Lytechinus pictus: one gene and its partner. The protein of the gene in region 2 purifies or fractionates together with the protein of the main gene of each other region. This does not show direct contact. Links are inferred from orthologs where the notes say so. Each region holds a gene or a part of one and is shown on either strand. Other genes may lie near its edges.

The links.
Region 1: the proteins of intraflagellar transport protein 140 homolog (region 2) and intraflagellar transport protein 122 homolog purify together in Homo sapiens (affinity purification with mass spectrometry; 4 studies listed by BioGRID and IntAct, counting the BioPlex papers as one, with this or other methods). This does not show direct contact. The link is inferred for Lytechinus pictus from reciprocal best matches to the Homo sapiens genes IFT140 and IFT122.

Annotation. Positions count from the first base shown.
Region 1 is NC_087247.1:78,865,088-78,881,956, forward strand, and holds the start of intraflagellar transport protein 122 homolog, read right to left. Parts: upstream 7,271-16,869; 5' UTR 7,173-7,270; intron 5,518-7,172; 5' UTR 5,451-5,517; intron 4,154-5,450; 5' UTR 4,127-4,153; coding exon 3,990-4,126; intron 3,465-3,989; coding exon 3,388-3,464; intron 2,312-3,387; coding exon 2,178-2,311; intron 1,039-2,177; coding exon 959-1,038; intron 1-958. UniProt on the Homo sapiens protein: As a component of the IFT complex A (IFT-A), a complex required for retrograde ciliary transport and entry into cilia of G protein-coupled receptors (GPCRs), it is required in ciliogenesis and ciliary protein trafficking.
Region 2 is NC_087254.1:17,767,285-17,783,822, reverse strand, and holds the start of intraflagellar transport protein 140 homolog, read right to left. Parts: upstream 7,112-16,538; 5' UTR 7,018-7,111; coding exon 6,877-7,017; intron 6,464-6,876; coding exon 6,242-6,463; intron 5,483-6,241; coding exon 5,355-5,482; intron 3,251-5,354; coding exon 3,159-3,250; intron 1-3,158. UniProt on the Homo sapiens protein: Component of the IFT complex A (IFT-A), a complex required for retrograde ciliary transport and entry into cilia of G protein-coupled receptors (GPCRs).

The DNA of each region.
Region 1 (16,869 bases), on a different chromosome or scaffold from region 2:
TCCAAAACTGGACTGTACTTTAAAATCCAACTGTTGAAGTAATAGTTTCATCAGATTAAATTATTTATGGTTAAGTACAGACAAATAATTTTCACATCTTTGGAATTCATATCAGTGGAAGTTACATTAAAAAGATACAGATCAAACTGAAAGGTCACATCATACTCTCACATTCTCATCAAACAAGATCTCTTTCAATTCCACAACCATTTTATTCTACTTTCCTTTTACAGATAAAATTCTAGAATTTATGTTTTTCCCCAGAGAATAACAGTGTCCATCATCAGGCCAAGATACTGCACACAATCATTATTAAAGGCTTGTAAAATTAGTCTAGCCAGAACTACCAATGAAACAAATCCTTCAAAATCAATCAAACAAAAAACAAAAATTATTGACAACCACAATATCAAAGTTTTACTTCAAATATCCAGACTCACCCAAAGAAAAATAATGATCTGTCCAAAATATCAGTAAGAAGATTAGATTAATAGCGGAACTAATTCATCAAACTTATCAATTTCCCATGACATCAAACTTAGACTGAATTATATTTATCTGCCTTCTAAAAGATCTAATGAATATTTAGTGTCTTGTTTATTCTTTCTAGAGTGATCTACTTTTCAAATTCTTAAACTTCAAAGATGACAATAGATTTTTCTGAAACCATTACTATTCTAATTTACATGGTATGCACATAATGCATTTGCATTCAGTCATTCTCCTAGTTAAATCTGATCAATGAGTAATCATTTCAATGCATAAACCTGGCTGGTTGCGAGATATTTTCTGAAATAATAAAAAGAAAATGAATATCTTGCTATCCTATCCAAAGTGCAAGTACCTCACTACATGTTTGACAATACACACACACAAAAAAGGGGTTAACTTTCAACATATAGCTGCTATAATATAGAGCTGATTGTAACAATAAGAAGTAGAAATAAAGATAACTTACTTAGAAGGATTCCACTGTAAGCTCCATATAGGACTAAGACCACCATTAGGTCTCTCAATTTTGAGCTTCTCTTCACCATTCTATAAAAATAAGCATGATTCATAAAATCATATTTTATCACATTGAACCAGAAAAAAAAATGATAATAATAATAACAAATAAAAACCATCTCACCTACTTTGTTTACACAGATGTTACACCCATACACATCCCAAATCCCATGAATCCTGTTCTGTAGTGTAATCATTTCTCCCTACCTTCAATGGCAAATAAAGATTTGAAAAAAATGTTCCAGTCATTTGATTATTCAATTACATTTCGTTTTCATTTCCTACAAAGAAATATATAAAACGATACTGAGCCAAATTATATTTAAGAATTGTAAGCGAAATCACATGTACGTTCATCCATTTAGTTTTTCTTTTTCTCTAAGGAAGTTCATTGCATAATAAGAACATAGGAATCGTTGCCAGCCAATTTGGATATTATACGGATTTAATACAGGACATAATTTGGAAATACTCAGAACTGACTCTTCAAGATATGTAAGATAATTTTTTATTTTGTTTAATGTATGATCTATTTCCTGTAAATAAAGAAAGGAATCAAATTTAGAATTAATCTAACTTGTTATTTTTTGCCATATCATAACAATGGTTTATTCGAAAATAATCTTAAAATCATAACAGAGAAATCGTACTGTTTTTTTTACATGTGATTCAGAAAATACTGAAATATGACTCGAGATAATATACAAATAATGAATGTTTATGAGTGCAATGGACAGAATACTTCATGAGGTGAAAGATGAAATGATCCATTCGACGAGGCGTAGCCGAGAATGGAATGGATCATTTCATCTTTCACCGAATGAAGTATTCTGTCCATTGCACAAATGAAAAGAACATTCATTATTTGGTTTATATGACACCTAAAAATAGATTCTATTTCATATGAAATTTGTGAATTTCGATGCAAAATATGCTAATGCAGTGCGAGCTTGGTCTGTTGATTATCGCGTGGTGCCTGCATTGTAGTCTGGGTGCGCAAAATCATATGGATCCAAAATTGCACGATGAATGGATCTAAACTTGCATGGTTGATAACGTCATTGTAGAATGGGCTGAATGATCGATATCGACCAACCAATCAAATGACAAGGATCTACCTAGGTGTCATATAATATCATCCAATCGGCTGTCTCCTTATGAGTATTTACCTTAGTCCTGATAGTGATACATCCATTATACAGTCCTAAAGCTAGGTACTGACCATCGTTAGTCCAAGAACAACATGTAATACGACTTGTCACTTTGTGTTTGGAAACAGATTTTTGCTCCATGGACCATAATCCTGAAAGAAAAAAAATAGAGGTCAACATATATTCTGATGAAAATTTTCCACCATACATGTATACATGATAATTTCATTCAGTATTAAATACATTTGTCGCCTTTCCTTTTAACTTACTTAAATGGAAATTAGATTTTAACAGCATTTTTTGTTACTTAAACATTTTCTCAATATTTTTTATTTTCAAATATTATAGCAATAGATGTATCCTAGAATTCATGAAGTAGTGACCTGTTGAATTAACTGAGCCTGCTTGCTCCATAATATCATTTTATCCACCCTTCCACTCCATCTCCTTTTTCTCTACATGAAAATCATTTAGGACCCCCCGGGAAAAGAAAAAAAAAACTTTTTCATATCTAACATTACCAACTCCGAAATGCAAGACATAGGTATAAATTTTAAAGAGAATTAAAAACAGAAATGTTCCTCAATTTCTTATATATCATGTCAGACAAATTTGTACAAAATAGGAACAAATGCACTGAAATTACCCTTTTCTGTTTCTCCCTAAACTAAGAATACTGTAACCCTTTTCAATAATAATAATAATAATAATACATTGTATTTATATTCAATAGACACAGTTGACAGGAACTGTATCTTTGACAGTCTATTAAACTTAGATTAAAGTAATCAAAAGAGGTTTCCTCATAAAACAAATGATTTTAAACACATATTAGGTATGTCTCACAACAGGTATCTTAATATTTTTACAAAGAAATTTGCCTTCAATTATTAAATGATTATCTTCAAGAGAATTTTAAGGGTACCATAATTGCATTATGTTCAATTTTATTTAGATATCTTGGAAAAGGGGAAGTGAAAATATTCAACAGGTCGCTTCATCTAATGTGTACATACAATACTTACTGTATTTTTGGAGGCTTCTAATTTTCAAGTGTAAACTATTTGTTGCCCTCCTTTTCTTGTAATGAAATTTCCATATACGAATGTACATTAGATGATGTTTTAATTATTATCAAGAATAGATTGAATCGAATTGAATATATGAAATTTAGGACATACTAAAATCTAAGGAATAAACAAGAAATAATACTAATGCAGATACTAACCAAAATCACTGAAAGCACAACTAGCCAGCTGATGTGTGATTGGATTGAACCCAAGACATTGAATGGCATCATTGTGACTGTAATAAAACAATACAAACAATTTTTTTTAATGTAAAAAATAACGATTAGAAACATCCCTTATTCTGTTGTGATTTGTTTGAAATCGCCTTCTGTTCATTCTTGATAAGTGCAAGTAAAAAACAAACAAATGTGAGCATGTCTTTACTCAGCACCATTTTTTAATTTCAAATTAATGAATTCTAATAAATGCTCTGAAAATTCAGTAGTTCTTTTGCTTCAATTATTACTGAACATCTATATTCTTTTCATCCTTCACATTAATTTCCTCTTCATGACCATCAATCATCAACACCAGTTAAATCAATTTTAAATATATTGCCTTCTTTTAGATGTAAACCAAGACCATCGGTGCCCTATAAAAAGATAACATATGAACCTTATCATTGCTGTACAGTATACACCACTGCATTTATTCGGGGGCATTGAGAATAACACTGATGACTTCTCTACAGGCTGGTAATCAAGTAAGTTGCAGGATAAAGTATAATTAAAGTAATTGTCTCTTGTATCACATGACTTACGTATATTTCAATATTCCTTCTAGTTTTGATGTCCAGATGATGACTGTCTTGTCCGCTGATCCCGAAGCAAATCTTTTACCATCCTTGGCGTATGCCACACAATAGACAGTATCTTTATGACCCTTCAAAGGCTGCATAAGTGTGCCATCATTAGTGTCATAAACCTATGACATAAAACACATTGTATGATGAGTTTTGTTGATATTCAAGAACCTTGGTAATACTACTAATATTTTAATCTTATTGAAAAGCTGAAAAGTGTGATACAGACCATGTGTAAGTAAATTCAACTTAAAACAGAGTAGATCTTAGACTGAAATAAACAAATGCACGATGAAAAAATAATCGTACTTGATCGAGCTAATTATCTTGAAATAAAAATACAAGCATTTGGTATGAATTGTTGAGTTCTGCTCCCACTAATGTTCCAGTAAAGGAACTTAGGAAGAAAAGAAATAAAAAAGTTTAAATGTGATTTTTCAAATTTCTCGCAAGTTTCAAACACATCAAGTTGACTATTTGATTATGAAGATAAAAACAAACAATGTGAATATCTACTTAAGGCAGGGTTGGGCCCAATTACATTCCAAATACATTCCTAATTACATTCCAGAGATGATCTAGCTACTAACCATCTTCTAATTAGCATTACAATAACCTGCTTAAGCCAGCTAATGACCAGATTATAATCAACTTGACAATAATTTTTCATTGGGCTGACTTTAACAGGTTAATATAATGTTAATTAGAAGCTGGTAAGTAGCTGGATCATCTCTGTAATGTAATTAGGAATGTATTTTGAATGTAATTGAGCCCAACCCTGCTTAAAGGCAATTTATCTTCAAAGGCCATTATGATGATATACTATCAAACAACTTCAAAATCTCTTCCAATACTATGAATTCATATCTTTATTTAAAATGGTTTACAGGGAAGAGAAATACAGAGGAATAACAAGAAATTGAAGAAAAATAACAAGACAGGAAGATGAAGAAGGAAAAACAAGAGATAAATAATAAAAAGGAAGAGAAGCAAACAAGATCAACTGACTTGAGTTACAATCTAATAAGATTGGGGATTAGATAAGAACTTGAGATATATACAACTTTTAATTTGCAGTTGGATTTCTCAAATTCTAGTATGCATCAAATATCATAGAGCATTGTGAATAAATTTTTTTCTCATAATATTTTCCAACTTAAATCTAAAGAATTTATGAATTATTGAAGGAAAAATTATTTAATTTGCATCTTTCATCTCAAGTGTCGAAATTTAACTGACCAGAAAACATACAGCACTCACACTTAATGCAAGGTTTTGCTGTAGCAGCAGTTGATGAGCTCTTTGAATGCATACATCAAAGAAATGAAATATAATATTTCACTTGCGGGAATAAGACATTCCACACACAGGTAATGGCTTCCTGAGTTGGAATACAGACATAATAATATCATGGCTTACCAGTACTCTATTACCAGCAGCAACAATAAGTTGGGTTCCATCAGGCTTGAATGCAAGATCATGAATACTGTTTGATAAAAGGAAAATATGCCGATGAATAATTTCTAAAGATCTAATTTTGTCTCAAAAAGGTTAAAGGCTAGGTAAGTAGGTTATGAAGTGAAGCCATGATTACCTCAACAGATTCTAATATTTTATATATTTGCCAAATTGAGTATTCAATTTTACATAAATAGTGACACCTACATGTACATGACACTAAAACATTATATTTATTTAGACAAAAGAGAACCTGTATTCGCCTGTATTAATCTTCAAGTGTGAAAGACACAGGTCCACCCTGAGGAAGAAGAACTTCATGAAATTTGAACAAAGACAATCGTAACCTGCCCAAATGTAGGTGGTTTCTCTAGCAATTGAATTTAAAGTTTCTTACCCAAATTTTGCCCAACCCAACCTTCCTAAACAATCTTTCACCTGAATGTCTGTACATCTATCATCAGAAACTACAATATTTTAGCTTCAATAAAGATTTCTTGCCGTCTCCGGACTCTTGACCTCAATGAGTCAGGTTGAGCAACAATGCCAGCACTGTAGCCAACTAAATCAGGCAGTTCATGACATGTTTGGTGTTATTGAACTTGCTAACACTATCAGTAGCAATGTCTTCATTCAAGTGAAGTGTAGACAGCTAAATTAGTCTGTTTGGAAAATTGCAGTACTGACATTTAAAAAAAACTTTGTTGGTTTATCCTCGTGTCATACAAAAAATACAAGATGGCTAGCCATCCATCCTGCTCACAGTGAAAGGGAACTCTACCCCATAGACTCAATGCATTATTCCCCTTTAAGTGGGGGATTTGATGTTTAATAATGATTCTTATATAGGTTGGCATGGACATTGAACTTTCGTCGTCGTTGGATAGATGTACTCTTTCCGCATGATGAGCGGGACTCGATCGAACCCCTCATCCTCGAGTCAGTTTGAGATATAACATTAGTACGGTCTAAGTAGATCTAGACCAAAAGCTTCGGTCTCTGTTATATTGGTTGTTCCGCTGAACTCCGTTGGCTCCACTCACCAATTACACAGACCGAAGTTCTAACTCGATCTGTACAGGGACTCAATGGACATATGTTTATGTATTAAGTTCAGATAAACTAGGGAAGTGGGAGTTGCGCGACAGCCGAAGTAGGTCACTGTTTTTTGTCCTTTTTTTTTCATTTAAATTTTTAAAAAATACTTGCATCGGCCGATAAATATCATCATATCTTGAATCGTAAAATACTTGCATCGGCAATAAATATCATATTTATTGGCCAATGCAAGTATTTTACGATTCATGATATTTATCGGCCAATGGAAGTATCTTTTTTTTATTTAAATTGGCACTGCTCATGATATTGTCGCCCTCTCTTTTAGCTAGGCTACGATAACAAAGACGGCAAGATGGCGACAATAACATCTGTGAGTATCTGCTCATCTTCTTACATGATTTTTCTTAATTGTTATATTATTTTTCGTGTAAAAAGGTTACATTTTTACATAAGTTTGTAATTAGTAAGTTAAAGAAATCAAGTATTTTGGAGCAACATTGTTGTCTCCAAATACTCGGTGTGTGTGGGCCTATGGCATCCCATCCCAGGCTTCATGGAGAGTAAGCCTAACGTCCATGCGCAGTGAGTTGCCATGTGCAATTTTTTTACTGTTGCGCCACTCACCTGTCACTGCCTGACCAAAATGGTTCTAGAAATCATTTGCAATGTTGAAAAGTGTCTTGTGGCATCTGATATTAATCCTCAGTAATTCCCTGAAATGCTGCAACATTTGGTTAAAAGATCCAGCAAAAGAAAAAGGAGTTTAGCGCAGTCAAAATCAGACTGTCAATGTTTTTATCGTGTATAGCTGAATTAGTTACCCTGTATAAAGATGTGAAATAAATAAATACAACTTGCAAACTTGGTCCATACGGTGCAAATTTTAGCTGCCATTTTTCTCGGGCGAAGATTTAAGACGCCCACACTAAGCAATCAATGTTTCCATAGCTGCCCGCTCAAGTTACCAATATTTGCTATCAAAATATAGATTATAAAAAAATGCTCACGATCATTTCATTTTGAAAGTGGGGGTGACAATTGTTATCAAAATAAGAGGGGGTGGCGTCTCAACGTATATCTCAACCCAAGGTCTCAACAACGCAGCTGAGTCAATGCACTTTTGTGTACGATCGGTGCGTGTGTGTGCGCATGCGCGATATGTCTGTGTAGTAAATGTATTGGACGTTTCGAATCGGTGACTCAAAATTTACCCATCATTGTGTCACCGTTCCGAAAGTGCGTAATTCATGACATTCTTACTTAAAAATGCAGCAATTTCAGGAGAAAAGTTTTTCACATATTTGAAAGGATTTGTGGATACTTTCATCTCATAGACATAACTTAGTCATATGGGTCATTCCACGGGGTTGGGGCAACAGCACTTTTTTGTGTTCCCTATGAATTGTTGGCTTTATCCTGAGAATGTGTTTGGCGTTTGGATGTTGCAATGTGGTTTTGTTGGAAGGCAGTTATGTAAGCAATTACTTGATGCAGAAATAAAAATGTTGAACCTCAAGTATTTTTGATGATGAGACTTTAAATGATGATGTCCAGACTCTTTTTTGGGGTACCAAGTGTGACATCCAAAATGGTCATTTTCAGTTGAAGATATCTAATTAAAAGATAAACTAAGTCAAATTCAAATGGCCATGATTGATAAAGCAACATTTGTTTAATAACAAAACAGTAATGGGATAGCAAATGAAAAGAGGCTTCATATCATTATTAATTCCTACAACATCGCATACCACCGTTACATGCGATGTCCGCCTTTATTTTTTTCTGTAACGGCGGTAAAGTGGTAAATAACTAAAAGTCAGAAATCATTCTTTCCAAAGTTATGTGTCAGAAATAAAGGGCAGGCAGTAAGCAACTTTTCATCAAAAGATTAGCTTTGAAAACCAATGTTAATGTCATGTTAATTAATCGAGGGTCGCCGATGTTTTGGGCGATGTCCGGGTCAAATTTGTAACGGTGGATCACATTTCATCGCGTATGTAAAAAGGAGAGACCGGAGAAGAGACCGTCGTTGTATGTATCAGACGGACGGGATGTTAGCCGAAATCCACGTGCACATGAACGGCTATGATATCGGGTGTTTTGCAGCATTGCAATTGGGAATCTTCCCGCAATGTCCGTGTAACGGTGGATTGGATCTCCACGATGTTTTCCCTTTCAAAGCGACGTAAGTACGGAGATTTATCCCGATACTCGTATTTTTAAATCAGTTAAACCTTATCTTAAAAATGTGAAACTATATTATCGTGCAGAAAGTGTTTTTAAGTTTGAAAAATCTCGCTAATTTTCCATAATCTTTTACTACAGTCCCACATGTATCTTTTCGTGTAAGTGAAATATGTGATTGAGACATCGCCGTGTTTGTTCCAGATTTGCTAAACGGCCCCAAAGAAATAATGTTTTTATTACTGTGATTCCGTGCAAACATGTTTTGAATGTTAGCTGACATGATTCAATCGCAATTTAGTTGATTTTTTTGAACACCGAAATATGTTATTTCAATAGGCCAATGGATACTCAAAACTGCTCTATCACCGATGATCATGCTGACATCTCAGATTTGGTACAAAATCTCGCCTTGTTGAAATTGGCTCCTACTGATTCTACGTAATATGGGTATCAAAGACCTGATGATCAAATTTGAATTTCCCCCAAAAAATGAGAGTTTAGAACCAGTGGCAGCGCCACGGGGGAGGCAGGCCCCCCCCCCCCCGCCCATTTTTTTTTTTTTTTTTTTGCTTGTCAGCTGATCCCAATCCGAAAGAAGGGGGGGGGGCAAAATAATGTTTCTGTTACTACCCCCTACACATAGTGCATGTGCTTTGTGTATGATGAAGCATGGCCATAATCCAATTACTAGTAATTCTTGGCTGTAGGCCTAACCTTCCCAAAACTTTTCATCTTGTTGAATGTTATACTTTTCAGCACATTCTTTTTTTCTCTCAATATTTTTTCAATATTTTGTATTTTGATTTCTATATATTCAATTGTAAGGAGAGGGGGGGGGGGGATTCGTTTTATCAGAAAGCAAAAGCCTGTGTGATTGTTTTCAATGTGATTTTTTTTTATTGCAATATAATGAGATTTTTAAAACATGTACAAGTGAACAAAAGAAAATGTGACACAATCAAGTTTGTTTCACAAGAGTTTATTTGCTGTATCAGAAGGTAAATTGCAGATTTGAATTCCATTAATTTATTTAATTCCAATAAAACATACATATATTATGTAATTGCTTGAACAATTAAACTTCAGCAATGAAAATTAAATAGGATGGTCATAAAAAACTAAATGGAATTGTCTAGATAACCACCCTTGATTAGAATGCAGAATAAAATTAGATTAAATTAATCCATTGAGAAATGAAATTGAAGTACAGATAATTTATGAAAAGGTAATGGGCAAGTAATTGTATTGTGAAAACAAAGTAGAACACAACAACACAAATACAAAAACCTTCTATAAAACGTAACTTTATATTTAATTTATGAACTATGAAATGATGAATTCTATTTGCTATGAAAAAATACAAAGTGAAGGTTCCTGTGTATTTTGCAAGAACAGATCAGATTCATTGTCCCTAGTAATCCACCCCCTTTAATGAGAAAATGTCAAGACATAAATAAGTAAATGATTTGATATGATATAAAAAATATTTGCTTATTGCTTAAAAAATATAGTCAAACTTCCAAATACTATTTTTCTCAACTACAGGTAGCCTCTGTTCAAGGTGAAAATGTATATCTTCAGTACATGAAGTGTCAATCTGGTGACCTGTACTCCTGGCCTGATGGCGAGGCACAATTCTACCTCCATCCACTTTGTGACATTGACAGAATCCTCTTCCAAACTGAAATTTCTTATTGGGTCACCAGTCTTCTTGAAGTTCATAAACTTGTAACCTGAATGCAGAGAGAAATATTGCATGTTAATTTTAATAGTCAGGTTTAGTGTACAGTGTAATACATTTTTTTGCATTTGCCAGTAAGAAGTTTACCAAAGAGTTCTTGCAGTTTTATTTTTGATCATTAGAATAGCTTAGTACATTTTACTTTCTCGCTTACAACTCTGTTAAAAAAACAGAAGATATAAAGGTGGTGAGTTTCTTAAATTAAATTTGTCCACTAAGTACTTTACAATTGTCCTTTTCACATGTTGGAACTTAATGTTTTATCTAATGTATGTAAGTTCCAGTGATGACATGATTATATTTTAATTAATGTCACTTCTACACTACCATTTTGAGGACATGATGTCCATGTAACTGAGGTAAAACAAATTAGAGTTAACAAATTGAACAAGTTTATATGTGTAAGGTATAAATGCGTTGTCCATGTCTTCCATGCGAACTTTGTCTTGTTTTGTCTTGAAAAACCATAGCTTAGAAGAACTAAACTAGTACCTTTTCCCTACATATTTTTCACCTGAATATTGTATCAAAGGTATCAAAAAATTTTATAATTGTGTATGAATAAAAAAACATTTTACCTGTTCATTGATATGAATTACAGAAGCTTGCTTGTAGATGTTGTATTTCTACACTTGAGTAAGATGAGTTAACTTGCATTTAGTGTGTTGATACTAGAAAAATATGTCAAAATATTCAAGTAATGCTATTCAATATGACCATTACAAGGACATGATGTCCGTGTAACAGAGGTATCTACATTTGAAAGTAATATCTTGAAGGAGATATTTCAAAGTAATAAAAGATTTGGAGATCGTAAGATAGCACTGTTTCGTTTTTTCCCCTTTAGACAGAAACATAAATGTTTCCAGAGACAGACGGAAGTGGAACCTTGAGGATTAGTATGATTTTAAATATAATGTCAATAATTTTGTATATTTTTCCTTGTTTAAACTCTAATTTAAAGTGCTTTTACTTGCAAAGAATTTGACATGCAAAATGTTTTTCTTCTAGTATAATCAATTGAACTTGTGCAAATATTCTAAGGCAGAAAGGGTAATTTGGTATGTAATGACCATTAATGGATCTTAACTTACAATGCTTCAAATTATACCTCTGTTACAGAGACATGATGTCCATGTAACGGTGGTAACACCAAACAAAAATAGAAGGTTAGGCCAGAGAGAGTAGTTGAGTTTTTCCAAAGAGAATATTCCATTCTGTTGAGGCATGACTTCTCTCAACTATTTAGTTCTACATGCCATCATAAATTGAATTTTCTTGACCGGTGAGAAAAAAGAACGACACATAATTTGTCAATAATTTTGTACATTTTTCTTTGTTTAAACTCTAATTTAAATTTCTTTTATTTGCAAAGAATTTGACATGCAAAATGGTTTTTTTCTAATATAATCAATTGATCTTGTGCAAATAATTTAAGGCAGAAAGTGTAATTTGGTATGTGATGACCATTAATGGACCTTAACTTACAATGCTTCAAATTATACCTCTGTTACAGAGACATGATGTCCATGTAACGGTGGTAACACCAAAAATAGAAGGTTAGGCCAGAAAGAGTAGTTGAGTTTTTCCAAAAAGAATATTCCATTCTGTTGAGGCATGACTTCTGTCAACTATTTAGTTTTACATGCCATCATAAATTGAATTTTCTTGACTGGTGAGAAAAAAGAACGACACAGAACATGGCACTGGTATACACACAGAGCATCAAGTTCCATTTATTGATGCTAAATCTTTCAAAATATATATGCCATGTTGGAAAATGTGGAATAAAGTGACTAAAAATATTGTTAGCAAAATATTTATTGAGAGGAATTGAGATCAACCCTTTTATTTTGACAGTGGGAGAGTATAGTCTAAGTAAGGATGATAAATGATGTCCATGTAACGGTGGTATTTTGTCAAATCTTGTTTCGCAATTTACTCAAATATGCAGGGTGGTATGAAATGCCTGTAAGTGGATTTAGTTGAAGAATTGTCCCATGAAACATATAAGAAAAAAAACTTTTCATTTATTACATTTCTATTTTTTGACCCTGATGTCACAATTTTTGCCCCAACCCCATGGAATGACCCATATACAAAGTAGGTATGTGAATATCGCGCGATGTGATCTCAATACCGCGGCACCGGCAGCGGTTTCAGAACGAGTTTGGGTTGCTCTGTAAGGGGTGGCTTTAAATGGGTGTAGATTTGGCGGCTTCTCACCAATTTGGCTTATTTTCACTGATGACGTAGCTGAGAAAAATCCCCTTTGCCTCGTTGTCAAATTTTGAAGATCGAACGCATAGAAGTTGGATTTGGCTCATGTGAAAGTCTAATGTTGTCTTTACCATCGTGACCGGCCCTGAAGGTAAGTTTTGACAGTTTTTAAACCTATTTTAACAGCTTGTTCATATATTTTTCTTGGTGTGTGGTGAATATAAATCGAATCTAAACATCCCATCATTTATTTTTTACTTCCTCAAAATTGATTGTCAGAAAAAGCAAACTGCTGCGAGAGTTGCGTGCTACGCGACCATCATGAGTGCAGTGTCGCCGGGAGCCCTGGCATGGGTGCACCGGCTCAGAGGGATTATGCTAGCAGTTTGTGCATCGCATTGATCGAGTTATTATTTGCTTTTGAGATCTAGAGTCTACTTGTTTTATATTTATATTATTAGTTATTACATCCTTTGATGATTATAAATATACACATTACACAATTTTAGCTTGTTTTCAGTATTTTGTTGTAAGATAATTGGGATGTCATTTATCCTTTATTTAGGCAAACTTAAATATACCAAAACAGGATTTTTTTTTGCAGCAGTGAGATTTGAATAGATAACTAATTAATTTGCAAATTGATAATTACTAATCAATACATTTATCAAATACTGCAATACTGAGATCTTTCTGTACGTATTCAATGTTTTATCATTCTGAAAGTTTTATTTAGAAGATGTGTTGTTGCAGAAGTTCCTGTCAAAAAATTCTGAACAATAAGGAAATTATATAAGTCAGGCCTCTACAAAAAAAAGTTTCGTCACTTGCCCTGTTGGGCAAGTGATGAAAATATTTGCTTGCCCTATTTGTTTTATAATTTTTTTTATTGACGGCACTACTCTTATTTTTAAAGGTCATACAAAATAACAATTGTCATCTTTGTGATACAAAAACAGGGCTTACGAAATCTTATTATTCTCTGTTTTGGGCATGGCACATTTATAATACATAGCTTATGGGTAATTGTACAAGCTTTTTATTTTTAAAATCTTAAAGTACTCAGATTGATTTGACATATTGGCATATGATTTCTTTGATTCAAGGGCAACTACCCCTGGACGATTACCCCCCCCCCGGACAATTATCAGAGGATTATCAGAGGATTTTTATCAATAACTCCGGTCCAAGGTACGCAATTACTTAAAGTGATTTATATTTCCCTGATAATGGAAACCATGAAACTGTAAATTTCGCTTAAAAACAGTTTTAAATCGCGACCTATATAACGTTAGTTCACTTATACGTTGGCTGTACGAACGGGCACTCATCCTACGGCTACGAACGAGGTTATAATATAACCTCGTTCTCGGCTGTATACCTCTCTATTGTTAAAATATACATTGCTCATTTTCCCCCCATCCGTTGCCCAAAGCATCGCGAATCAGTTCATACTTGAACTGATCCGTTGATGTAAACTGTTATTTTGACGGATATGACTTGAAATTAATAAATATGATATAAAAAATGAATAAAAACTCACCGATTTCTCAACATGAACCTCATCCAACTGCCTCCATTACGTCTATGGTGTTCGACAGTGACAAATCGAAAAAGAAAAAAGATCTCACGAAACCATAGAGGCTCATCAACCCGTTTGGACCACTGACCGTTGAGGTTTCGACGAAACTTTGCTCGTAATGCATTCTGGTAAGGAAGTCTTGATAGCCTCAATCAAGACAAATTTGCAATTTTGTTTCATATTGATACATAGTCAAAAGTGATACTAGTAGTTGTGAAACTGAAATGAAATAAGACATTTTTGTATGAAATAAAAAAATAAAGGAGAAATTCAGTTGTTTCGATTTTGTTAATTTTCTGTTATGGGACTCTTGATGAAGAAGCCCCTTATTCTTTTCTGATTAATGAACCTGACGATAGAAATACTTTTAACAAAGTTAGGCATTAATTTCCGAATTATTAATGTAACAGAAGTTTGGAATAACAAACTTTACTGTGGGTCTAATCAGGGGAGAATCCAGGATTTTCCAAAGGGGGAGGGGGTGGTTTCTTTTACAGAAAAAAATAACAAGCTCCCCCCCCCCCCGTGAAGGAGATTTATGTAACGAATAATTTCACAATTATGATAACAGCTCCTCGCTATACAGTAGGAAGTTTCAAGTTTGTTTTCATTGATTTAAAATCCAAACCTAAAGGATTTTCATTAAAAAATAAATAAAATAAAAAATCTCTTACCACAAAGGCCTATTTAGGGGCAGATCAAAATTTTCAAGGGGAGGGCTGGAAAGTTTCAAGTTAATTTAATTGATTTCAAATCCAAACATAAAGGATTACAATCAAATGAAATTAACAATTTATATAAATTATCAAACAAAATGGATGCAAAATAAATCTGTTCTATTGCTTTCGAGGGGGTGGGCACGAGCCTGATGTGCTCCCCATCCTGGATAAATAAAAGAAACTCATTAAAAAATATTGGAACGTAATTATGTTCTGTTTCATCACTTTGTCTTGAGTTTCTTGCCCCTTTCATTGTTTTCACATTTCACCCTTTACCCTTATTAATTTCAGGACAGTACAAAATGTGGGCTTACAAAAGTGATATGATGATGAAAATGAATATTCCACAACAATATGAAAAATAATAGAAAACCAAAATAATAATATTAAAGGAGAATGAAACCCTTGAAACCAGCTGAATCCATATCAAAGAGAAAAATCAAAGAAACATATTGTTGAAAGTTTGAGGAAGATTGAATGAATAATAAGAAAGTTATGAGCATTTAAATATTGAGATCACCAGTGCCATGTAGATCCTCCCATCGGCAATGCGACCAAGATCTGTGATATCACACACGTACAACTCCCTCATTACTCTAGTACTTATTTCACTTATATTCTCACTTTTATAGAGTCTATCACAAGGTGAGGTGTTCTCTTTATGAGATGACAAGTACAGAGGTTTCACAACATTATACCATTGATGAATCGTTTGTCATATGATTAGAATAAGCAAAAAGAGATGTTTTGGGGTATATTTTCAGTGTCCAAATGGGAGAGTTGTACGTGTGTGACATCACAGATCTTGGTCGCATTGCCAATGGGAGGATCTCCATAGCATTAGTGATCTCGATATTCAAATGCTCATAACTCTTTTATTGCTAGTCCTATTTTACTCAAAGTTTTGTTGATCTTATTCTTTGATTTTTCTGCTTTCACAAAAGCTAACTTGCTCCAAGAGTTTCATTCTCCTTTAATAATTAACCCTTACAATGATAGTACTCAATAAAAGAGAGGGATCGAGAGAAGAAGCAATAACCCCCCCCCCAAAAAAAAGGCATCATATTTCCTTTCACCATACGACAAGATACAGTTCATTATAGAATAAACTAAGCTGATGGCGTTACAACAATTATTCTTGTGTATAAAATAATAAAGGGGAGAAAGAGACTACTATCGCTGGATCTCGGAGATCCGAAATAGAAGCATCACCGGAAACAGGTATCTGTGGTGAGAAGCATTTTTATACAGCTCTGTAGAGGTCAGTGGTGTGGTTGCTTCCGTTAGCTTTCTTTAATTGAGCACAAGAGGGCGCATTACATCCTCTACGTAGAAGTCTATGCGCTGCTGAGGATCATGACAAATTTCATCATACATTCCGACGATTTCCCGAAGAGTCTTCGAATAAATGACAATATATCGTTGGGTCCAAGATAAATTCCAGCAACAACGGAAGGAAGATCAACGTTTGGTTCTGGGGGAAAGACTGTTAAGTCAAACTCTCTTACTTTTACATTTTTTTATAACAAATTTTGTCTATGAGTACGCCTCACATACCTCTAGTCCCATCCCCTACCTTTTGCTGTATGGCAAATGGTCAGGGATGACGAGTGCGTATGGGCCTCCAAGCTCTGACTTCAGTCTATGTATTGGTGAGTGGAGCCAACGTAGTTCAGCCAAAAAATACAGAGACTGAAGCTTTTGGTCTAACCATAGTCCTACCTGTAGATTCCCCACAGGCAGGATGGTTGAAGAGAACAAGTGCGTCTAGCACTGTGTCTGCGCGATCGCTCACCCGACTGAAGTGCCTACCTATAGACCTTATCGCAAATAGCATCTGTCGCGTGAGGGCGTCTGTCATCGCAGAGGATC
Region 2 (16,538 bases):
CGGTCCGGCTTGTTGAGCATGTGACTTTGTCTGATGGGGCCAGCCCTGTGCTTGGTGAGGTTTTCCTCTCCCCCGACCTCGGGGGGCATGGCCTAAAAAATGACTGTCAGAGTTCCCGCTGTGCGGTTCGTAGGGTTGGGTAGCAGTGCTACTGGCTTTGCCTTTAGAACGAGCCCACCCCGCTGCAGCAAACTTGTGTTGAGCGGCAGTTGAATTTCTCTGGTAGGGGTGGTAGTGGGGTACATGTTGTGAGGTGCGAATAAAACCTAGCCCTTTATTCCCGAGGCCTGCTACTGCTTGTTGCTGATCTCTCAAGTCCTTGACTTGTTTACTCAAGTCATCTCCTAACAGAAATCTTGTCACTGGAGTGTCAGGCTTACAGAGGTGGTTATATCTGCGGTGCAGACTAGGCTTGATGAACTCCTTTCGGAGACAATTCATCTCAAATTGTGCATTACAGATGAGTGCCATGGCATCTTGCTGCGTTTCAGTCATAGACTGGGATGAGAGGGTTCGAAGGAAAGCATTCAGTCCTTTGGACAGGGATTTTTGTACCCTTTGCATCTTAAGATCCCTCGACTTTGTTTGCGGTGTTAAAATTTCCCATATAGCTGGGTTAACGCGTGGAGTAACGATGGACTGGCAGTTATCTGGTAATGGATACTTCGCAACCACATCGGTAAGAGTTTTGCCCTCTAATTGGTTGCCGACAAGAAAGTTGGCTGACTGTGCTATGTCCTGATCTATGGGCTCCCCAATGTCAGTTGGCGTAGCAAATTTTGCCGCAAGAGAAGGAACTGCGATTGGTTGGGGCTGCTTCTGACTAGATCTAGTCTGACTCTGTGCCTGTGGCCAGGAGTCTGCAAGTTCAATTTCATCATGTTCATTCCCATAGTCATAACTAGATAAGTTCTCAGAACCACACACTTCATGCTCTATGTAATCCATAGGCATAACGCAATCTTCGTAATCCGGATTACCGGTAGACTCACCCGCGGTGAAAATCTCGCCAGGCTCTACGTCCCTTGCCCTCGGCAACCCCGACCCAGCGGGTGCGGGTTTGGCCGGCTTGCCGATCGGTGCCGGCTGCTGCCCCGCAGCGGGAGGCGAAAACATGTGGCGCTGAGTCTCAGCAATATTGGCCACCATTTTCTCTAGCGCTTGGAAACGTCTGTCCATATCGTCCGACAATTTCGGGGCTGTAGATTTTACCTTTGGCTGAGCTGAGGGCTTGGACTTCCCACTCGATTTATGGCTTTTAGCCTTGGGTGGCATAGTCAAAAGTGTCACGTCGCTTCCAGCTTTGCTGGCCTCATCGACGGAACGTTCATCCGCCTTCCCCGCGAGCGGGGAGGCGGAGGTGGTGGGCTTTGCCCTCGAGATCGTGCCTTTGGCACTGATACTAGGGTCATCGTTTTTACGATCCGACATAATGCCTTAAAAAACCACAAACACGCAAGAAAATCCTTGAAAGGGTGAACGAAGATCACGACCACGAAAAAGTTGATGAAAAATGTCCAAAAACACAAAATCCTTTGGGGAAAAACGTCGAAAAAAGTAGTCAGTCTCAAGACTAAAATTATTCCATGACCTCGCTAAAATGGCGCTACTAACGAATTGAAGTCAAGACCTCGTGCGCTCACTGGCGGGCTCTCTCATTGTGACGTAATTCTCAACGTCATTACGTCATAAAATACAAAAGAACAAGTGGGGATGTGACATCATCAGCCCATCTAATGAATATTCATGACAACTGTTTTCACGAAATATTGCATAAACTTTAAAATTCAATAATATGTCTCCCTTATAATGAAATAAGTTGCAGCAATAAATATCTAATGCACTAAATCAGTTATCAATCCAATTTTTCTAGTTCTTGGAGGAAAAAAATTGAATAAACCTAATTTCATATAATAAAATACAAAAGAACAAGTGGGGATGTGACATCATCAGCCCACCTAATGAATATTCATGACAACTGTTTTCACGAAATATTGCATAAACTTTAAAATTCAATAATATGTCTCCCTTATAATGAAATAAGTTGCAGCAATAAATATCTAATGCACTAAATCAGTTATCAATCCAATTTTTCTAGTTCTTGGAGGAAAAAAATTGAATAAACCTAATTTCATATAATAAAATACAAAAGAACAAGTGGGGATGTGACATCATCAGCCCACCTAATGAATATTCATGACAACTGTTTTCACGAAATATTGCTAAACTTTAAAATTCAATAACTTTAATATTTGTTATCCAATTTTGATGAAATTTTCAGCATTTTGCTCAGTGAATTCTACTCTATTTATCAAGCTATAAATACTTTCAGCACGGACCATCCCTTTAAGAGTCAATTTGTAGGAGGTAAATCAACACCAATGAAAACTTGATGGTTATCATCTTCCACAAGAAAGGGTCACCAGTCATTCGTAAATTTTTGTATAACTTACAAACGGCTTTATTAAAGTTCCGCCAGAGGGAAATATCCGATAGGAATCAATCTCTGAATACACTAAATGCTGTATAGGTTTGTTAGATTTTAAGCTAGGCTATTCATAGTACTCTGGATATACACAGAGATGTTATATCATACAAGTATAACATTAAAACATTTAATTTTGGTTGTGAATTTGAATATGAAAGAAACTGTCCCAAAGTGATTGTGAAATGTTGTTTGTAATGCATTTCTAAACTGGAATTGCCAAAAGAGAACAAACTGACTCAATACTTCAGAATAATTAACATGTATGCAATGCAAACTGATGAACATATTATATGGGATTAATCCAAAAATTGTTTGTCAAACATCTCTTGGATATAATGTTGACCAAATTCATTTCTAGTACATGCAGGTAATAATAATAGCTGGATTTATAAAGCCCTTTTTGCCAGAGGATACAAAGCGCTGCTATCATTACCCTGGCTCTAGCTCAAGCTACCATCACCGCCGCTCAGTGCATGCAAGGAATTACTCCTGCCAGGTACCCATTCACCTCACCTGGGTCGATGGCAGCACAGTGTGGATAAATTTCTTGCTAAAGGAAAACACGCCATGGCTACGATTTGAACCCACGACCCTCTGTTCAAAGGCAAGAGTCAGAACCACTAGACCACGAAGCACCCACAGGTACTATTGGGGAAGAAATGCAACTTACCTTCCTCTCCTCCTACAAAGCAAGCATTGCCATCCGCTAACAGACTGGAAGAACCTTTGTACAAATTTGAGCTCCATGGGGCACTCCGATCACTTTACACCATAAATTGACAAAAAAAGGAAAGAAATTGAGTGGAAATCTACATTGACAAAGTAAGACAGCAAAGATGAGAGTGATAGTGAATTGGAAGAGTTTTTTTCGAGAGATTATTGAAAGAGACACCCGAATAAAGTGACATAAAAATATCTTATTTCTAAGAATATAGAATTGTTTGTCAATTGTTTAATTTGTAAATTTTCTGGAAGCAATCCTTTATGTTTTGACCTGAATCCATACACATTATAAAAGCCATGTAGATATGACTGCATCACCTATCCTCAACTCCCAGTTAAATTCTGAGAGGATAGCAATGATTGTTCTTTTCATATCTTCTTTCAATATTGTACTACTGATTTATTCTATAGATGTATTAAAGCCAAATGTGACAGTAAACACTAATTAGTGTATGATTGTTAAATCAATAATTGAATGAATGCATAAATAGCAACATTTGCATGCTAATGGATACCAAAACAATACAAACAATTAAAGACAAGAAATATCACTGACAGTAATTACCACCCCTTACCCCCCCCCCCATCCAATGCCGTTACCATGGCAAAACAGTTTCCAATAAATAGAGAAAAAATGTGTTGCCCCTCTTTACTTCAAGACAAGTGTGCCAAATTTCATGAGCACTGGTAAAAAAGTGAGGAAGTAGTATGAAACTTGGAAAAACAAGCAGGGCCCTGGAATGAGTTTTAAATAAGAGATGCTGGGGGTATTATGAAGGGGATTGTCATCTGGAAAAAAATGACAAGAAAAAAAAAATTAAATAAAGGTAATTGCTCCCAAACATGTCATTTTGAGAGGTTTTTTTTTTGTTGTTGGCTTGTCAACCTGATTCCTAGGGGGGTGCTGCCTATGGTTATTACATATGCAGCACCCCATGAAAAATCTTGGGCGTGCTATAGCACCCCCAGCATCCCCGCTTTCCAGGGCCATGACCTCAAAATTTTTAACAAATTTTTGCCCTAAATATAAAAATCATCAACACATGCAAAAATGTGCCTTAAGACCAATGTTTATGCAAAATTTTGTATTAGAAATATGTTAAAAAGTGAGAAAGTAAGTTGATCCACAACATTTGCAATGGACAAACCTGCCAATAACCTGATGAATAGTAAGGGCAACAATGCCTTAATTTAATCTGCACACAGCTCATTAAATATAGAGTACATCCCAGAAAAAACGAAACCAAGATTTATCAATGATTTTCCATAACTTAATCACAAATACAATAGACAAATGTAAAGCTGAGTGTCTCCTCTTTCATTTGAAATAACTTAGATTATTTATCATTCATGCATGAGTGAGCAAAATCAATTTGAAGAAAGGAAACCAAAAAGTCACTTGGCGGGCTGTATCTGAGTTTCAAAAAGAAACTCACATTTTTAAAAATTTCAATATCTGCTCTTAAATTTGATACCTCAGTTACAGAAAACGGTCAAGAAATAACAAAGTTCTGTTTATTTGAAATAAGGCTTGAATTCCAATAATTTCAAAAAATGAAGAGGTTTTACTGGATAGCTTTCAGACTTACTCGACACTCCGTTTTGTTGACGATCAGCCATGCATAAAGTCTTTTGTTAACCGTGCGATAGCTTAGGTGAGAAACCGGTGAAAACATGTATGTTTCATGAAATTATGGAAATACAAGCATTGTTTTGAAGAAGCATAGCTTTGTTATTTCTTGACCATTTTCTGCGATTTAGCTATCAAATTAAAGAGCAAATATTGAACTTCTTAGGCATGTGATTTTCTTTTTGAAATTTTGATATCTCCCGCCAAATGACTTTTTGCTATCCTTTCTTCAAATTGTTTTTATTCACTCATGCGAGGATGAGAAATCTTGTATGTTATACCAGCTGAGAGAAGAGATTCTAAGCTTTACAATGATAGGTCATTTGTCTACTGTATTTGTGATTAAGTTATGATAAATCATTCGTAAACCTCGGTTTCGTTTTTTGTGGGACGCACTGTATACTGAACATTTCTAGTCAGGAATAACACTTGAATGACAGAAACCAGGATCTGGGGTGATTGCACCCCTTTCAAACTTCATTTGGCGAAGGTAAAAAGGATAGTTGCTCTTACTCATCCTGTTTTGGTCCACCATAGGGAAATAAACATTGAGTTGGCGTCTGTTGAGATGGTAATTGACTGATGGGATTACTAGTCAGATGACCTTTTCCGTCACTCTTCCACATGATCAATGTTCCTTCCTATAATCAATGTTAATCAAGAAAGCGAGAATTAGTAATCTCCTTCGATATTCCTGATTATTGCATAACAGACCTACATTAAGTGATATGATATATAAGCAAAGTGTAAAAGACCCGGTTATCAATAACAAGGGCAAGAATGCTATGATATAGATTTTTTTTGTCAAATTAGATACATTCAGTAGCTTATAACAGAATGTTAAATCTTCTTGTGGAGTCAAGCAAGGAATAAGTTTTGTTGACCAAGAAAATTTGTCGTAGTTCCATAGAAGTTAAAAGACAATTTGTATTGTTATGCCATTTTGTTATTAGTATTTATGTATGTCCTGTTTAGGCTATTCTATGTACCCAGATATGTCCTGGTCGTAATTCCTCCCACGTTTGTACTCATTCCTTTGTTTTGAACAATTTGAATGTTAAATAAAGTGATGAATCACTACATACCTATAAAGATACATCCCTTGTGCACATACATGTCATGCATCAAGTTGCAGCTTTATGCATAGAACTCCAAACTCATGCATGTGCATTTGATATCATATCAGAGAGATATAAAAGCTCAGATTAATACAGGGTTTATTTTAACAAGAAACTGATAGATCCATAAGAATCCAGGAGGGGGGTTCATGAAGAGCTTTGCAAATTATTTTTTACTGACTAATTTGTTCTCAACCAATCAGATGCAATTATTTCTGTAGCTTATATCATGTCAGTGAATGAAGAAACAAAACTCTTCATAAAACACTTGCCAAGTCTGACCTTATCTCCTGATAATAAACGTTGACCCTTGACACTCCATTGAAGCAAGCAGACCTGAGCCTTGTGAAGTTTGGTGGCTTCCTGAAGCTGCTGATCTTGCTCATTCCAGATTAGAATCTCTCCACTCTCCCATCCTACAGCCACTGAAGGATGGGTAGGATGCCAGGCCAATGAGGTGGAGTAGCAAGAACGTTGAAGATTAGCTGCTGGAAGGGCTTGACCCTAATTAACAATACACATAAATCAATCTTCCTTTATTCAGAGGAAGGGCAAATAAACAATGACAGGCAGTGATAAAGATAATTCATAGAATTATTATTCATGAGTGATTTTTGAAGGTTTATGAACTCATTTGTCGCACACACGGATATATTCCGTTTCATAAGCGATTATTTTATTTTGATATCGACAAGGGAAAGAAATTGAAATGTTTTCATTTACATCATCCACTATAAAGATTAAACCACACCAAAAATATCAACACAGAACTTGAATTCACAGTATTTTCTTTCATTAAAAATATTGTTCCTTTAAGATGAATAGCAATCACTTTACGTAGATAGAAAATAAATAACATGAAGATGGGTCATGAAAAATGTAAATCTTTCTCGAGAGAAAAAAAACCTTTTCCTTACCTCTTCATTGAAAATGTTGATGACACCTCCGCCTTGCTGGCCTCTCATTGCAATAGCAAGTAAAGGTTGTTCATTATGCCATGATATATCTACATGGCTAGTTGAGCCTGACTGAACTCGATGATCAAAGAAAATAGCCATCTTGGATACAACAAGCTTGTTCTTTCAAAATGATGTGGTTTCCATACAAATTATAGGTCCGTCCTCGGACCTAAGAGGTAAATGAGCAATATGATTCTGTAGAAAAAAAAATGGGAAAGGATAATCTTTCTTCATTTTTGCAAAGTGAAAAAGGCTATATTGTTCATTCTTTAATTTTCTAATCTTAGGACAGTCAATTGAATTAGAGTAAGTGAAGTTACTAGAGGTATCTGTATTTTGCTTTGAAATTGTTGAACCTCCATTTGAAGAAACTATCTTCTCCCTTTATTATAGTTTTCAGAATTAAGACAACAAATAATGTTCAGCAATATTATGTGAAAACAGTAACATGCAGGTCATCATAAATATTCATTAGGTGGAGAATAGCCCCGGTCCGACGGTCCCAGACCGGTAAAAATCACTGTCGGGCCAGTAGATTTTCAGAAATAGCAAGATTTACTGGTCCGACATGACCAGTAAAAAAATATCATTGTCGGGCCAGTAATTATTCCTAAAATAGCAAGATTTATGGGTCCGACATAAACAGTAACAAAAACCATTGATGGGCCAGTAACTTTTCCAGAAATGGTCAAATTCACTAGTCCAACATAAACATTAAAAATATTCCATGACTCAAATTGCAAATCATCTTCCTCCAGTTAATTTCTGTCATTCACACACAGAATACACACAGAATGAATTGTATGCAATTTTTACTAGGGTAACATACAGTGTACATATGGCTAGCCAGCCACACAGCCACATGGTAAATTTTCTACTATACTGGCTGCACGAACGAAGCTTGGCTAACCTCTGGCAAAAATCTCTCACAGAACTGTCAAAATTCACATTTCACACTAACATGACTACTGAAAAGCTCTTGTAATGTCCATATTTCCTAAAAATTGGGGTAACTCTGTCATTTGTAAGCAGTAAAAGGAGAAATTTTCACTTCTGTTTTAGTTCAAAGAGATCGGGTTTCGAGTGATATCATCTGAATACATGATAGCCCCACAAATGCTTTTGTGTGTGTGTTGATACACTTGGGTTCTTTCGTAGCTATACATCTTAATTGAGCCAAAAAGAAACTGATAATTTATTTATAATGATAGTTTTAGCTTTCTTCCTCTGTTTTCTTTCTATCTTTCTTTCCTTCTTTCTTTTCAATCTTTCTTTGTTTCTTCCCTCTCTTCTTTCATTTTTTATTTCTTTCTTTCTTTAATTCTTGAGTTCATCCATCCTATATTTATCTCTTTCTTTCTTCCTTTCCTTCCTTCTTTTTACCCTTTCTTTCCTTCATTCTTTGTCACTTTCTTTCTTTGTTTCTTTCTTCACTCCATCCATCCTTTCTTTACCCTTTTTTATTTCTTCCTTCTTTCAGCCCTTTCTTTCATTCATTCCTTCCTTTCTTTATACTGTTTTTTGTTCTTTTTTCCCCTTCGTTCCAACTATCCTTTTACCTTTTTTTTTTTTTTTTTTTTTTACTGCTTGCTTCCTTTCCATTCTTCTTTCGTTCTTTCCTTCATTCCTTCCTTTCTTTGTCTTGGCCTCTTTTTTTCTTCCTTTCATCTATTCTTTTATATTTTCTTTCTTTTATATATTGCTTGACTGCTTCCTTCCTTCTTTATTTCTTTCCTTCATTCTTTTTTCCTTCTATCTATCATTTTACCTTTTTTTTTTTCTTCCTTTCTTCTTTCTTTCTTCCTTCTTTCCATCTCTCCTTTTAGCCTTTCTTTTTTATTGCTTCTTTCCTTCTTTCTTTCCTTCATTACTTTCTGTCTTTTGTTCTTTTTCTATATTGCTTGCTTCATTTCTTTCCTTCTTTCTTTCTTTCCTTCATTTCTTTATTCATTTATTTTCTTTTGTTCTTTCTTTCTTATTTTGGTTCTTTCTTTCCTTCCTTCCTTTCCTTCTTTAGTTCTTTCCTTTTTTCCTTCCTTCACATCTATCCTTTCTTTACCTTTTTCTTCCTTCCTTCCTTTTATTCATTCTTTCTTTCTTTATTCCTTCTTTCCATCTCTCCTTTTACTCTCTCTCTTTCTTTTTTATTGCTTCCTTCTTTCCTTTTTTCATTAATTTCTGTCTTTTGTTTTTCTTTCTTTCTTGCTTACTTCATTTCTTTCCTTCTTTTTTTCTTTCTTTCCTTCTTTCTTTCTTTCTTTCTTTCTTTCTTTCCTTCCTTTTTTTTCTTTTGTTTTTTTCTTTCTATTTTTTGTTCTTTCTTTCCTTCCTTCCTTCCTTTCCTTCTTTCTTTCATTAGTTCTTTCTTTTTTTCCTTCCTTCACATCTATCCTTTCTTTACCTTTTCTTTTTTTCTTCCTTCCTTTCTTTTATTCTTTCTTCCTTTGTTTCTTTCTTTTTGTCTTGCTTTCTTTTTGTCTTTCAGTCCTTCATTTTTTTTTTTTTGGGGGGGGGGGTAACAAAAAAGGAAAGCAAAATAAACCAACGCCTTTTTTTTAATGTTTTCTTTATTTTTTGGGACCAGTAGATTTTAGGTTCGGACCAGTAAAAAATGGAAAAACTGGGTATCTACTGGTCCGACATGAATAGGTTGGACCAGTAGAAAAAAAGAGTTAGTGTGGAGCCCACTATTAGCGCCACCAACAACCTTCCTTTTATTTCCGTCGAAGAGACATGCGGAGCAACTTTCCAGGCCGAGGTAAGCGATTTTGCTCTTTTTTACATGATTTTTACATTAATAAAATTTGTAAAATTGAAAATGGAACGCTTTTCACCAGAAAAAGTCCTGGTGAGTAGCGGAATGAGTTTCGACTAACATTATTCGCGTTATAAAGCGATGGTAACCGACAACTCTAAAGTCCATACTGTAAACACGTATGGTGAGACCACTACATATCGACCACCTCTTTTGAAACCGACCACCTTGCGCGCATCAAAATTATTGCTCATTACAAACGATACGCGCAGGAGAGTAGGCGCAGTGTCCATAGGAACGGTAAGAATTGATTTTTACAAGAGAAAAAGAAGGGGAAAAGGGTAAAAGGGTAAAAATTTAGTAGAATTTATCAAAATTGTATGACTAGACCCGAACCCGCCCCGTTTCCGATAGGAAACGGCTTTAGAACAAATATCCGTCATCAATCGTCGAATCATGTGCCAGAGCTCGCAGTGGATGGAAGTAGTGAGACAATGATTTAGCATGTTGACATCATAGAACTGATTTGAAAGAGTAAAAATATTTCACCACCGCGACAAGAATCGGCCGTAAACTTAGTGTATTGCAGGTGGTCGGTTTCAAAAGAAGGGTGCAAATGAGCAAATGTAAAACCGTCGTATTCGTTGTTCGCCGATATATACGCGAATTGAATCGGAGTTGCCGATCGAAACATGGGAATCTGATCTGCTCAATTTTCTGCACAAATGAGACGAAAACTAGGTAAAACTGATGAGTGATAAATATTTTCGCAGATATGATGCTTAGAAAATTAGGTGGTTGATAAGGGGTAGTTCCAACCATACGTGGTGCGAGGTTTGTATAGTATAGCATACTAACCTCGCAATACGTGTGAGTGAGTGGTTTTGGCCCATGACCTAGACCAAAAGCTTCAGTCTCTGTATTTTGGTTGTTCCGCTGAACTGCGTTGGCTCCACTCACCATACATAGACTGAAGAGGAGGGGGGCCCCTACCTACAGCCAACGTATAGTGAACTAGCGTTTTATAGATCGCGATTTAAAACTGTTTTTTAGGCAAAATTGACATTTTCATGGTTTCCATTATCAGGGTAATATAAATAACTTAAGTAATTGCATACCTTGGGCCGGAGTTATTGAAAAAAATCCTCTGGATGATTGAGAAATCTGTCATCTAAGACATTTTCACCTGACCTGACGGTTTTTCTTGCAAGTTGCCATCTTGAATGACGTCATTATCGTTATTAACTTTTTCATGTCTCGATTTATCGCGATTATAACTAGTATCGTTTATCTTCGTGTAGTGTATCGTATCGTATTAGATCAATTAGATTTAGGAGGTGCCGTGGCCGAGTGGTCTAAGGCGCCTGGCTATACATGAAAAAGTCCGGGGTACGATCCCCGGCCGCGGCACCTATGCCCGTCAGCAAAGCATTTAATCTTCAATGCTCTTTTATCCTGCTTTCAAATAAATGTAAATGCTATATGCATTATTGGTAACTAGGTGTGCACTTGTTTAAAAAAAAAAAAAAAAAAAAAAAAAAAAAAAAAAAAAAGATTGATTGACGATATGATTTACTACACACAACAAAATAATGCACCTGGTTTCTTAATGGCAATAGATTTTGAAAAAGCGTTTGATTCGGTCTCGCACATCTTTTTGCAAAACGTTTTACGTTCTTTTGGCTTCGGGTCCTCATTTTGCAGCTGGATCAAAACATTATACAAAAATGCCCTGAGTTGCGTATTTAATGGGGGTATATCGACAGGATACTTTAGTGTTGAAAGAGGTGTGAGACATGGGGATCCCCTCTCTCCTTATTTGTTTATACTTTGTATCGAGGTCCTTTCTAATACCATTCGTAAAGATAAATCCATCCACGGAATCAGCTTTGGTAATGTAGAAGTCAAACAAGCGCTCTATGCGGATGATATGACACTTTTTGTGAGGGACTCCCAATCTATTGATAGAATCGGAAAAATATTTGGAGATTTTGCTAAGATTTCAGGCTTAAAAATGAATAAAGAAAACACATTTATATTAGCGTTGGGTCCTCTTTCTACAAAAGATATTAAAGTTCCATTTGGTAAATTAGTTGAAACTATCAAAATATTAGGAATAACTTTATCATTAGATGTAGAAATTCAGGAAAATGTTAATTACAAATAGATTCTAAGTAAAATAAAAAAAATTATTTATATGGTGGAAGCAAAGAGACTTTCTGAAAATGGGTTTAGATGGAAATGAAATAGATAAAGTTTATAAAGTTTTTGAAAATATTCCAGCAACATGGAAACACCTATTGAAGAAAAAAGACAATTGTGAAGACACTGGTCTAAATCTAGAATTTATATTTAATGGTAAGATTAACAGTTTACCAAACGTGACATCTAATAAAATATACAAGGCACTTTTAAGTATTAAATTAGAAAAATCGTATGCGTTTGATAATATAAGACATATAATTTCTCCGAAAAAGATATATGTGCTATATTTTCAAGACCCAGAAAATGTACTCTAAGCAGTATAGGCTTAGAGAGTTTCAATTTAAAATGCTTTATGAGTTAATATACACGAAGAAATATTTACATTTATTCAAAATTTTCTCAGATAGTGAATGTTCATTTTGTGGGAATACTGAAGAAACTTACGAGCATCTGTTTTTCTCATGTGAAAAGACGAGAGACTTATGGATAGATTGCGGTAACTTATTCAATATGTATGAAATAAAAAATGCCAGGTGGGTGGATATACACATTGGTGTTAAGCATGCTAATATAGGGAAGGAACAAATAATTAATCACATTATTCTTTTAATAAAATATCTGATCTTTGTTTACAGCAGGACTAAAAAGACCACCAAGTCCCAACGAAATTAGAGAGAAGATATTAGAAAATGAACGTGAAGAGAAAATTTTAGCAGTAACAAGGGGTAAATTATCAAACCATATAAGGAAATGGGAACATTTCCTTACAAGAGTATAGAGGCGACAGAGCTCACGAGATTATGTTCGTTCATTATGGTGTTTTCTTATTTCAGACGGAACGCGGCATCATATGCAAGGGTGTACGAAAAATGTTTGAGGGTGTGAAGTGTGGGGGTTTGTGGAGGGAAGGGGGGGGGGGGCAAGGAGGGGGCAGGTGCAACGCATATACTTTTATAATTTTTTTCTCTGATATTTGTTTGTTAAACTCATCTGGTAGTGGTACGATGCAGTCTTAGAATATTATTTCATGATGTGCATAATGTATACTAGTTTAAGAAATTTATTTGAATTATTATTTACAATTGTTACTTTGTTAACTGCATTGTATGAAATTTGATTTGAGAGAAAAACAATAAAACATCTTTTAAAAAAAAGTATATTGCCATGTAGGTGTGCTGATTGCTGGTGGTAATTTTATTTGATTCATTAATTCATTTTAGTAATTATGTCTGACTACTGGTGTTGTAATTGTGACCGTAATTTGACTAATCATCCTAATAAAAGAAGAACTTTGAATGCAAAAATGGATCACCGTGATTACACCACTGCTGACGCTGTCGAATCATTAGGAATTAAAGTGACACCCGATCAAATATAAAAAAAAATCATTTGCGACAGATGTTGCAAAATAATTTTGAAATTATCTGAAAGTAATTCAAATGTAATTGAAAATAAATCCAAATTAAAGAAAATTAGTAGAATCAATGTTTACTTGGGGAGGAAGGTGAAGGTGACCAGCTATGCTTCGCCATTTCTTCGAAAGAAACGAAGACGACTGACAAGCCCACAAGCACAGACACCCCTTCAAAAAAAAGATGTGACGACACAAACACAGCCAGAAAAACGGCGGGTAAGTTTCTCTTTAAATCACACATTTCGAGACTTGATTGTCCATAGACACATTAAACTACATTTTACCGAGCCCAAAATGAAGAGATAAGACAATAATCTGTCAAATGATAAAAATAGAAAATCAAATTAACCACAAGAAAAAAAAATCAACTTGACCAGTTGGACCAGTAACTCTGGAAATTGGAGTATTGGTTTATCGGTCTGGTAATACTGTTCTAGTTACAAATAATACTGCTCCAGTCATTGGTATTGAATAGGCCTATAGTAACTGGGATTTTAAACTGGTCTTAATTATACTGGAGTCTGTTACTGATGTTTTGGCTTAGTGGTTGGTATCCAACTGAGTGAACTCAATTGGTCTTACTGGTAGTCCCTATTGGTCTTATCGGCTGTTCATTTGGTCTTCCTGGCGTAACAGGCGCCGGGGGGGGGGGGGGGGGGGGAGCTGCCCCGGCCCTGGCGGATTTCACCGAGAAAAGGGCGAAAAGAGAAAAAGGTAAAATGAAGAAAAGAAAACGAGGAAAGAGGCCGGGGTGGGAGGAATGGGAAAGGTGAAAAAGCAAAGGAAAATGACAACAATAAAGAAAGAAAGAATTAGAACATGCGAGAAAGTATAGGCCTTAACATGTCTTTAGCAGGAGACTCAGTGGCATGGACAAGAATGGTGGACAATGAGAGAAATCGACAAAAAGAGATACGAAATGAAGGTATATAGAGACAAAGGTTGAATTTGAAAATCAGAATATGAAGAAAAGGAACAAGAAAAAAGTCAATAACACGACAAAGCTGCCGCGGATTGAAAAAAACGAAGGGAAAGAAAGTGTATGAAAGTGAGGTAAAACACGTGCTCAACAGTGGCGTAACTACGGGGGGGCATGGGGGGCACGTGCCCCCCCCCCCCCCCCATCGGCTGGCCAAAAAAAGGAAGGGGGGAAAGTAGAAAAAGAAGGATAAAAAAAGGAGAGGCGTAGTAGAGGAAGAAGAAACTAGTGCATATTCTATTATATTAAGTTATATATATATATATATATTATATTATAATATATTATATTACATAAATATTTTTTTTTTTTTTTTTTCATAACTCTAATTATGAAACATATTTTGCTAAGGGCCTATGACATTGTGTTCATCATTCCTGGTGCTCGTAATTTCTGTTTGATGAAATATATAATCATGTTGTACTAAAAAATTCCGTTTTCAAGTCAATATACACCATATACATGTATTTCCTTGCACTTCGAGTTATTGTTTTATGTAGTGACATGCTTCTCACTCATGACTACTTAAAAGAAACTGCCCCTTTTTTAAAGTCTGAATGTAAAATATTCCCAGTTAGTGCTTACGTTCGCATCAATGGACTGGTGAGATATGTCTGCTCTTCATGAATTCCTGAAAACAGTCCTTAAAATTTTCCCTTTACTGGTCTGAAAACTCTATCAGAAATTTTCAGCTCGCGCTTCGCGCTCGCATAATTTAGTAAGTGAAATACGTATGGCCTTAGTGAATTTTTACAAACAAGCCTAAGAATGCCCCTCTTCAGGTCTGAATTTCAAAAATCTCAGCTCGCGCTTCGCGCTCGCATTATTTAATCAGTGAGATACATATCTGTTTAATGAAACAGTCCTTAAAATGCTTCTATTACGTCAGTACCTGGCAATTGAGCGCGCTTCGCCAGCCCAGTAAATGACTCAAAATTTTTGCTGGTGCCCCCCCCCCCCCAATGCCGTGACCCACGGTACGCCACTGGTACTCAACATCATCAAAGAATGACTGGAACTGGTCATGACCAATTGGGAATTCAATTTCAAACAAGAAATTTTATCAACCCGACCAGTTTACTATAACATTTATCTGAAAAATATTATTCTTTTATCTCTTAACCATAGTGATAATATATATAATGAAAATAATGACAATGATGATGATGATGATAATAATGAAATAATAATAATCATAATAACGATGATAATGAAATATTACTACTACAAATATTAATACTTACAACGATAATATTTAAAAACCACAATGATTTTAGCGATAATGATAATTATATAATAATAGTGATGATAATTTTATCTTTAAAAACCAGCAAGCGCGTATATGATTACCGAGGTAGAGTGTACGTATCCTTTTCATGAATTCAAATAAGGAGCAGATCGTATAATATCGAAAGCAATATCGATATCACATTCATGATTGTTGACGCCCTCTCCGTTCGTTTGTAAATATTTCATAGTTTGGCTGCCATATTGACCATTTTTATCGTGTTCAACCCAATTAAACATCGGTAAAGTATAATTTTTCATGCCTTTTCATCTATATCGTTTAAAGTATTTTGTTAACAAAATATCCAGTTTTAAAAGTTTGTTGGTTATACATCCTTAGATTGTAAATTCGATGTGTAAAATTACATCAAACTTTGGACTGTGAATTGACAAAAGGGTGGGAATGAGAACACATGCGAGCCCACACGTATACCCTACCGTCGGTTAATGGGGATTAAAGTAAAATGTCAGAAATTGTTGAATAAATCCCCAGAAACGACGGTTATTCCTGTCTACCCATGACCATGACTTTACTTTAGTCTTGCATGTCTTGACTTGTCTTTACTTTATTTAGTTTGGGCTCAAATTCAAAACATGATTAAGTAAAATGTGTGATTTAATAGATCTAGTTTCACCGTGGGAAAACCCACGGTATATATTTTATTATGGGGAGCAATGCCAATGGTAACCTGTCCCAGGCTTCATGGAGAGTAAGCGAAGCCTACGTTTACGTGTCAGTATACAAATGATGCATGGGTTAGAGTGGGTCAGTAGGAACTGTGTGCACAAGGTAACTTTGGCATGGTTTAACCCACGAGGCGCAGCCGAGTGGGTTTAGACCATAATGCCAAAGTTACCGCGTGCACACAGTTCCACTGACCCACGAAAGAAACCCATGCATCATCTGTTTTATAGAATGGAAAAATTTTATTGAATAAACCACAAAAATTAATGATTTACCGGATGCATGATAATTTCAT